2 linked regions of the Bombyx mori genome follow. The protein of the gene in region 1 interacts with the protein of each later gene in a pairwise test. Links are inferred from orthologs where the notes say so. Each region holds a gene or a part of one and is shown on either strand. Other genes may lie near its edges.

Evidence for each region.
Region 2: the proteins of AP-3 complex subunit delta (region 1) and vesicle-associated membrane protein 7-like interact in a two-hybrid assay, tested with the Homo sapiens proteins (2 studies listed by BioGRID and IntAct). The link is inferred for Bombyx mori from reciprocal best matches to the Homo sapiens genes AP3D1 and VAMP7.

The regions. Positions count from the first base shown.
Region 1 is NC_085121.1:9,311,769-9,315,598, reverse strand, and holds part of AP-3 complex subunit delta, read right to left. Parts: intron 2,147-3,830; coding exon 1,945-2,146; intron 876-1,944; coding exon 704-875; intron 26-703; coding exon 1-25. UniProt on the Homo sapiens protein: Part of the AP-3 complex, an adaptor-related complex which is not clathrin-associated. The complex is associated with the Golgi region as well as more peripheral structures.
Region 2 is NC_085119.1:6,315,207-6,319,625, forward strand, and holds the start of vesicle-associated membrane protein 7-like, read right to left. Parts: upstream 2,816-4,419; 5' UTR 2,626-2,815; coding exon 2,422-2,625; intron 1,581-2,421; coding exon 1,397-1,580; intron 709-1,396; coding exon 650-708; intron 1-649. UniProt on the Homo sapiens protein: Involved in the targeting and/or fusion of transport vesicles to their target membrane during transport of proteins from the early endosome to the lysosome. Required for heterotypic fusion of late endosomes with lysosomes and homotypic lysosomal fusion.

The sequences.
Region 1 (3,830 bases):
GGCGTTCAGCATCACTTCCTCTTCCCTGTTGATTACATATCGAGGGGTGAATGACAAAAAAAGGAAAGGATGGTTTTATGCAAAAACTTTGCAACTTTACAGGAGAATTATTTAAAATTTCAAATTTTGAAAAAAAAATGTCATTACATAAAACCATCTTCAGCCATTTGTATTTCATAAATTTAATTGAAGTCCAATTAAAAATATCGAATTGTTGAATAACAAATAAAACGCGCCTTTAATAATTGCAGATAAATATCGCGTATTAAGCGAAATGTTGCTTAAACTAGGTAACTTAGGGTGTGGATCAAGGGTACCACAGTTACATAGCTACACAGATATTTCAGTATCCAAGAATAAATCGTGATATAGGTTTATTCTTGGATACTGAAATATTACGTAAAATTAATTAGTTTTTCAAATCATATAGAAAAAGTAATAAGCATTGACCCGAATTTTTTTTTTAATGCCATGGTAGGCAAACGAGCATACGGCCCACCTGATGGTGAGTAGTTACCGTCGCCCAAAGACTTCAGCAATGCCAGGGGCAAAGCCAAGCCGCTGCCTACCGCGAATATCTCGAAGTCGCGATTTCTGATTAACAGGCGATCATGCAATAGCATCGTTTTCGTCTAAATTACTATACTAAATAACTTTAGGTCGTATGTATGTATATCTATGTGAAACAGTAAAACGAACTAACTCGCAGTACTCGGACAGCACGTAGGCGGCGGCGTAGAGCACCTCGCGGGAGGCGGGGCCGGGCGGCGCGGCGGCCACCCGCGCACACAGCGCGCCGCACTCCCGCGCCGCGAACGGTCGCACGTCCGCCACGCGCGCGCCCACCTCCGTCAGCTGCGCCGCTATTATACACCCTACACAATACATTGCGAGGTTTAACGAACACCACAAAATATACCGACGCTTGAAAGGCAAACGTGACTAAGCGACAATAATTTGTACATAAATGATAGGCAATAACCATATTCGATGCGCAAAAAAAATATTTCTAGGTCTATTAAAATCATTTCAATCCTACAGCTAGATTCGTTAAAATATAATTTTTTTCAGGTATTTCAACTTTAAATTAGTCTACTGTAAAGTTCACGCATTGTCGCTTAGTCACGTTTGTCTTTCAAGCGTCGATACGAACAAAAGTTTAAGTCTTCTTATCAGCCCACAGACGTCCACTGTTGGACATAGGCCTCCCCCAAGCCTCGCCACAAAGACCGGTCCTGCGCTGCCTGCATCCAGCGGATCCACGCGAACCTCAATAGATCGTCGGTCCATCTTGTGGGCCTACCCACGCTACGTCTTCCGGTACGCGGTCGCCACTCAAGAACTTTCTGGCCCCAACGGCCATCCGTTCTACGAGCAATGTGTCCTGCCCACTGCCACTTCAATGTCGCAATCCTTTGGGCTATGTCGGTTACCATGGTTTTCCTGCGAATCTCCTCATTTCTGATTTGATCAATTGATTGAGTTTAAGTCGTCGCGGCCTAAAGGATAAGACGTCCGGTGCATTCGTGTTGAGCGATGCACCGGTGTTCGAATGCAGCAGGCGGATACCAATTTTTCTAATGAAATACGTACTCGACAAATGTTCACGATTGATTTCCACGGTGAAGGAATAACATCGTGTAATAAAAATCAAACCAGTTAAATTATAATTACTGGTGGTAGGACTTCTTGTGAGTCTGCACTGGCAGGTACCACCATCCTGCCTATTTCAGCCGTGAAGCAGTAATGCGTTTCGGTTTGAAGGGTGAGGCAGCCGTTGTAACTATACTTGAGACCTTAGAATTTATATCTAAAGGTGGGTGACGCATTTACGTTGTAGATGTCTATGGGCTCCAGTAATCACTTAACACCAGATGGGCTGTGAGCTTGTCCACCCATCTAAGCAATATATTATACACTAATAAAACTGTAAGTATTCCTTGCCATGTTTAGCACTGGTTTCCATTTCGGTAAGCTCTGCCAGTACCGTGATGTACCACTCGAAATCCACAACGTGCTGGTAGTTGTTTTGAGAACAGATCTCGATCATCCGGGTCAGCAGTTCGTCCCGGTATAACGTCCCCTCGGCACGTTCCATGTGCGACATCAACTTCTTCACTATTTCCATTAAATTTTTCTTGGACACCTAAAACAGCGAATCAATTTTATTTCTCACTAGCTGACCCGGCAGACTTCGTAGTGCCTCAATCGATAAGTAAAAGACCTAAACTTTTGTGTAAAATAAACTTAAAACAAACAAAATGAATCCGTCCGACGGGGGACACATCAAAGGAAAAACAAAATTGTTATTTTTATTTAATTCCGAGCATTTTCATATTTATCTACCTTTTAAACCTTCTCTGGATTTCCACAAATGATTCAAGACCAAAATTAGCCCAATCGGTCCAGCCGTTCTCGAGTTTTAGCAAGACTTACGAACATCAATTCATTTTTATATATATAGATAATAGATAATATTCATATGTTTCTGAATACAATTATGCAATATTATTGACGTGAAAATTTCATGCCCTGTTGCTAATCAATTACAGTAGATTGGGGGAATAGGGACTAGAGTTAGAATAGGGACAAATCTGGGATGTCACAATACTTTTGTTGAGTTGTTAGATTTAAATTTGTTGAACTGAAAATGACTTTTATTTAGTGTTAGAAAGAATATTAAACTGTTTAATTTAGTCATCAAAGTTTTGTAGCTCATTAAATATATTAAAAACTTAATTACCTAAAGTTAGGTACCTACCTTAGAACTAAATAGTGCCACCCCTATCGGAAAACTCTATTGTCCCCATAAGTAACCTGATTCACCCCAAAGCCAAGATGTATCGGGTCAAACTAGTTTTTTAAGTTTTTGTGTATATTTTGTAATGAACTATGTAAAACTATGTATAATAATGCATCGTATATAAAAAATTAAAGCCCCGGAGCCATTTTAATCTCAATTTTATTGATTTTACCCTAAGAAAAACCATTGAAATTTTTCGTTGGAATTGGAAAGGGTCCCAATTCCCCCCAACCTACGGTACATGAGCCACCACAACCATAAAATACGTTCGACCACACAGGTCTCAATTGTTTGACGCCCAAGAGAATTTGACCTTCAAGCCGCGACCCATGATTGCTGAAATAGACAGGACAGTGGTACTGACCCGCGTGGACTAACATTCCTACCACCACTATAGAATAGGTTTGTACAGTGACATAATTTAGTTTTCGGTAGCTGCGTAAAACTAAGCTCAAGGATAGACAAACAAAAACAGGGGGCCCATCGACATTAGTAAATGTGTTTTAAAACGGGGCGGGATATTATCGATAGGGTATTCGCATAAGTTAAAAAAACGGCTTAGAAAACTAATTAAAACACAAATAAGTATGTCATTATTTTTAACCACAGATAGAAAAATAGTGTGGAACTGTATAAGTTTGAGAGCTTTACTTGTGTCTGTGGCAACGTAGTTTCAAAACGGATGGACAAACAATATTAACGGTTCTTATTTGAAATATGGAACAGTGAGTACCTACCTTTTATGGAGGGTAGAATAAGGAGAACCGTCTCTGTGTATAAAAAGTGTCCGTGAAAATCTGCTAAATAAGGATGGCGCTACAGTAGCAACCGGGTAAATTTTAAAAAAGGCGCTGAAAGTTATTAGAATAAGATAGAGAAATAAAAAAGGACGAAAGAACTGTAAGCACTACAGAATCACAAAAAGTATTTTATTTAAAGCTGATAAGAAAATGCAATCGATGTCTCCACGTTTTACCACAGCAATAATTTTAGGTTATATTGACGAAATTAGTTTGAACTACGTAAA
Region 2 (4,419 bases), on another chromosome or scaffold:
CCCATCTAAGCAATAAAAAAATAAAAAACTTGATTTGGTAATAGATTTTGTTTATACGAGTCATCTATTATCAAAGGTGGCAATCTGTGCATTTGGACAAAAAAATGTTATTGATATGTCAATACAGATTGATTTGAATATAATCGTCTCCTTCAAAGAATACGGTTCAAAACCTGCTTAAATAAAGGTTAATACTTAACCTGTTATTTATCTAAGATGTCGTGCAGAAGAGTTTTGTGACTGCCAATGGAATACAAAGTCAATAATTCGTTTTTCTGATTTACCAATAATTGTCCAAAAGTCACATTGCCGGCTTTGATAATAGTCGACTCATACATACTATTTAATAGGTATTCTGTGAATTTTTTTCCATTTAAAATGTTGAAACTGATAGTCTTTTTTTCCGCCGCATTCATACATCCGGCAGAGACATTTATAACGAGCGAAACTAAATAAAATCAAAATTAAAGGCAACCCCGTATTTCTCCCGCGGAGCAGTAAGGATCCCCGTTTGAAGGGTGGTCCTTGTTATACTGTAGAACAGAGTTAGAAATCATGTCTCGAGACAATGGCATTTACGTTATTCATGCTTATGAGAGAAATAGCTAATGACTATATTTTGTAGGCTTAATGTCTTATGTAAACTTACACTGTACGATAAACTATCGATGCTATCAACTAAAAGCATTTTCTCGCCGAGAATTGTTTCTGAAAAGAAAAAAAAACTAATTTAAAATTAAATGTAGTTTAAGAACCCGTACGTTCAATTACAAACCGTACCAACAAATAATTTTATCTTTATTTTGTACCTTTTTTGAATACCGGTCAGGATTTCAGAGCGATTAGAGCAATTAAAATTATTGTTTAGCTAACGGTCCTTCATTCGTGTACAAACTTTCTGATTAGTGGTCGGTACGTCTTAAAATCGATGCAAATCACATTATAAAGAAGACATACAAACATACATACGTATAATTGGAATTTAATTGTTATTATAAAAAAAATATAGACACATTTTTTAGATATTGCTGCTTTCATCGACCTCGCCATGTTGCCATTTTGTTTTATTATTATTTCTCTCTTTCTTACAAATTTCTCTCACTCACACCTTAACACTCCGTTCCACGCTCTTTCCATACGTTCCGTTCTCAACCATCCTACATATTTACCAAACTATTTAATAAATAACTAAAAATTTATTGACACATTTTTTACACATCGCTCACTTCATCGTCCTCGCGGTCTTGCTTTTTTTATTATTATTTCTCTCTATTTCTCACAAATTTCTCTCACTCACACCTTAACACTCCGTTCCACGCTCTTTCCATAGGTTCCGTTCTTAACCATCCTACATATTTACAAAGCTGTTTAATAAAAAATGTTTAAAAAAACTTACCACTCCTTTCAACGCTGATCCTGTTCAATTCATCCAGTTCGCCATTTCTTATAACTATAGTACTGTAATCTTCATTGTATCGGTACATTTCCTCTGCCAGTATATGTTCGAAATTTTTTACGTATTCAGCAAATCGTCTCTGGATTTGATTTAAGAATAAAAATGCCCTTGATCTCTGACAGCTCTGTTAAGAAAATACATTTGATTTGAAGACTATAGAAAAAATATTTACATAATTCTGACTTAAGCTAACATAAGGGAACTTTATGCGAATAACGACGTGTGCTTCTCTCATATTTAACAGAAAATCTTTACACAATCTTGCACATACAGAAATATGTAAATAAAGTTTCTTCAATTTTCAACTGACGTATATGTTTAGTTTCAATATTCAACCTATTTAATAAGTGGCAATCGTTCGTCCAAATTTTCTCTGTGCTATGTGTTCAGAAGATATATGGGACAACAATAAGTGCACCAGATCGAATAACTAATATCTTTAAGAAATTTATTGACGAGAACGAAATAAAAAAAAAACAAGTTTTAAACACCGGCCACAATAAAAATGAGATATTTTCGTTTTATACTATTCGTTTTTTTTTCTACCTATTCTAGTAACCTCGAGGGGCTATTCTAGATTCAGTAAGTGAGCTCACGGGGCTCAACCGGAAGTGTTGCTAACACTGGCCCTAGCAAGAGCAGTGCTTCGCAGAATCTACCACCGGATCGGAAACGCGACCCACTGAGAAGATCCGGCGAGAAACTCAGTGGGCTGTGTCTGTGGGTTAATTTACTCGTCGAGCCCTTCGTCGCAAGCGACGGGTTCGGCGAGGACGGTGACCGGTGCTTGAGGTACCTAAAAGCACCGTTAATGGATCGGGAGGATCCGTAATGACGTGTTTTGAGCAATTCGAATGTATTGGACGACATTATCAATGAACTTTCAGAACAATATTTATATTCTATTTTTTCATGTATGTTTTTTAACTTGTAAGAAGTCCTTTTCAAACGAAATCGTAACTTACCTTTTCTGTAATACAAAGAAATATATTTTTCTTGTGAACAACATAGTGAATCAAATATTTTCCGTGAAGGTACGTCATCTTGTGATCATGTACCGGTATTTTTGAGACCATTCGTTCGGATATCTCCACGAAGTTACCATCGCAGGTTGCGAATTTCGAAACGACTCGTTTATCACACGCTATCACACTGAATAATATAGGCATTATAAATATGACTACAAATTATTATCACTGTTCACACCATTTGACGCTTTCACTATTATTATCAGTTTCAATAATTTTTTTGAAGAATATTGTTTAACTGCTGCATTACAAGAGTACAAACCGCAACTATACGATGTGGCGTCCTCTCGATCCGCCCACGGTTTAAAGATTTTGAATGTCCAAACGCAATGCGTTAAGGATGTCATTCGTTTTTTGACGGAAATAAAACAGATCTAGTCACATTAGCCAGTGTTCTCTGTATTTTGTTTAACCGATGCGATATCAAGACTCTGGTAACCTTTTGTTACCAAATGGACCGACGTGTGCGCAAAAATGTTCATTATAAAACAGATTTGTTTAATCTGTGCATGCATTATTCTTCAAATTTAATTCAACAAAATATTCATTGGTTTTGTTTAAAGAAAAAACCCAGTAATACAAGACTTGTATTTGTTTGTGTCTAAAAATATAAGAGGAATTATCTTAAAAACTGAAAATTTGGTCTTGTTGCTATGACAAGAGTCCGCGATATCTATATATTAATACGTGAAGCAAAAACTTTGTATCCCTTTTTACGAAAATTGCGCGGACGGAGGAGTATGAAATTTTCCACACTTATAGAGAATATAGAGAAGAAGTGCACAATGCTAATATTTTTTTAAAATAATGCATAAAAGATACATTAAATCAATAAAGAAAACATTACACACACTACATACCATGTATTTGACGCACACACGCATGCATACTATTTATTGTCCAACTTTTGTTCTTGACCTCTGTTGTCAGATTGAGAATAGATTAAATATTGTTAGTCTTTGTTAATATTTTTTATAGTGTAGTCTTGGCGAAATTTGTGACTATAGAAGTATAAAATACAATAATAATAGTGTACAAACTTACAATTCCAATTAATTATAGTCGAATTTCGACTACTGCGGGACCTCTAGTATTAATAAAATCACTTGCTTACAGTAAGTCGGTTAAGTGTAGTATATTCTATGCCAATAAGACAATAACTGTGGCCAACATTTAGTATGCTGCTGCCAGATGTTGATAGAATTAGGGGACGCGATACTAAATCTACTTATGAAGGAAAAATGTTTCCTTTATTAAAAATAATGGAATGAAATCTTCCTCGAAGCAACATATACTACAACAACGCGAACAATAAAACACACATTAATAATTTATTAAGCTAAGCTTATCTACATTGGCGGATTTTTTAATTTATAACATTCTTTCGTGACATTCGTATACCAAAAACAACTGAAAAAAAATCAAAATAATCATGTTATTATGAATCACCAGTATCACTTTTGTTTTTCATCTTCAAGAACAAACAAACACCTCCTTTTTACCATAAGGATATGGATTGTTACCGATATTTTTACATACCTACTTGATGCTTGTGGGTTACAGAAAAAAAAAAACGAGAAAATCGAACGTTTGACAACCCTGCATTGAAAAATTCAGTATCGCACAAATATCACACGATCGTTCTAAAATAAATTTCCGTGTCGGCCGAAGCTAAAATCGTTTCGTGCTCGCTAAAACTGTCACCGTACATAAATTGATCAGTTTTAAGAGACATGTGCAGACAAGCGTGCCACGCATGTGCTCAACTTGCTTCTTTGAGATAATTGAATATTATTTGCCTACGTACTCATACACTCCGAATTTTGAGCCAGGACGGAAATTTATCACCGTCCTGCCCAGTTTCACCGTGAAGTAAACCGTTCGTGTTTGAAGAATGAGACGGCCGTTTAACAAAACAACTCGTCCGGCAGTAAA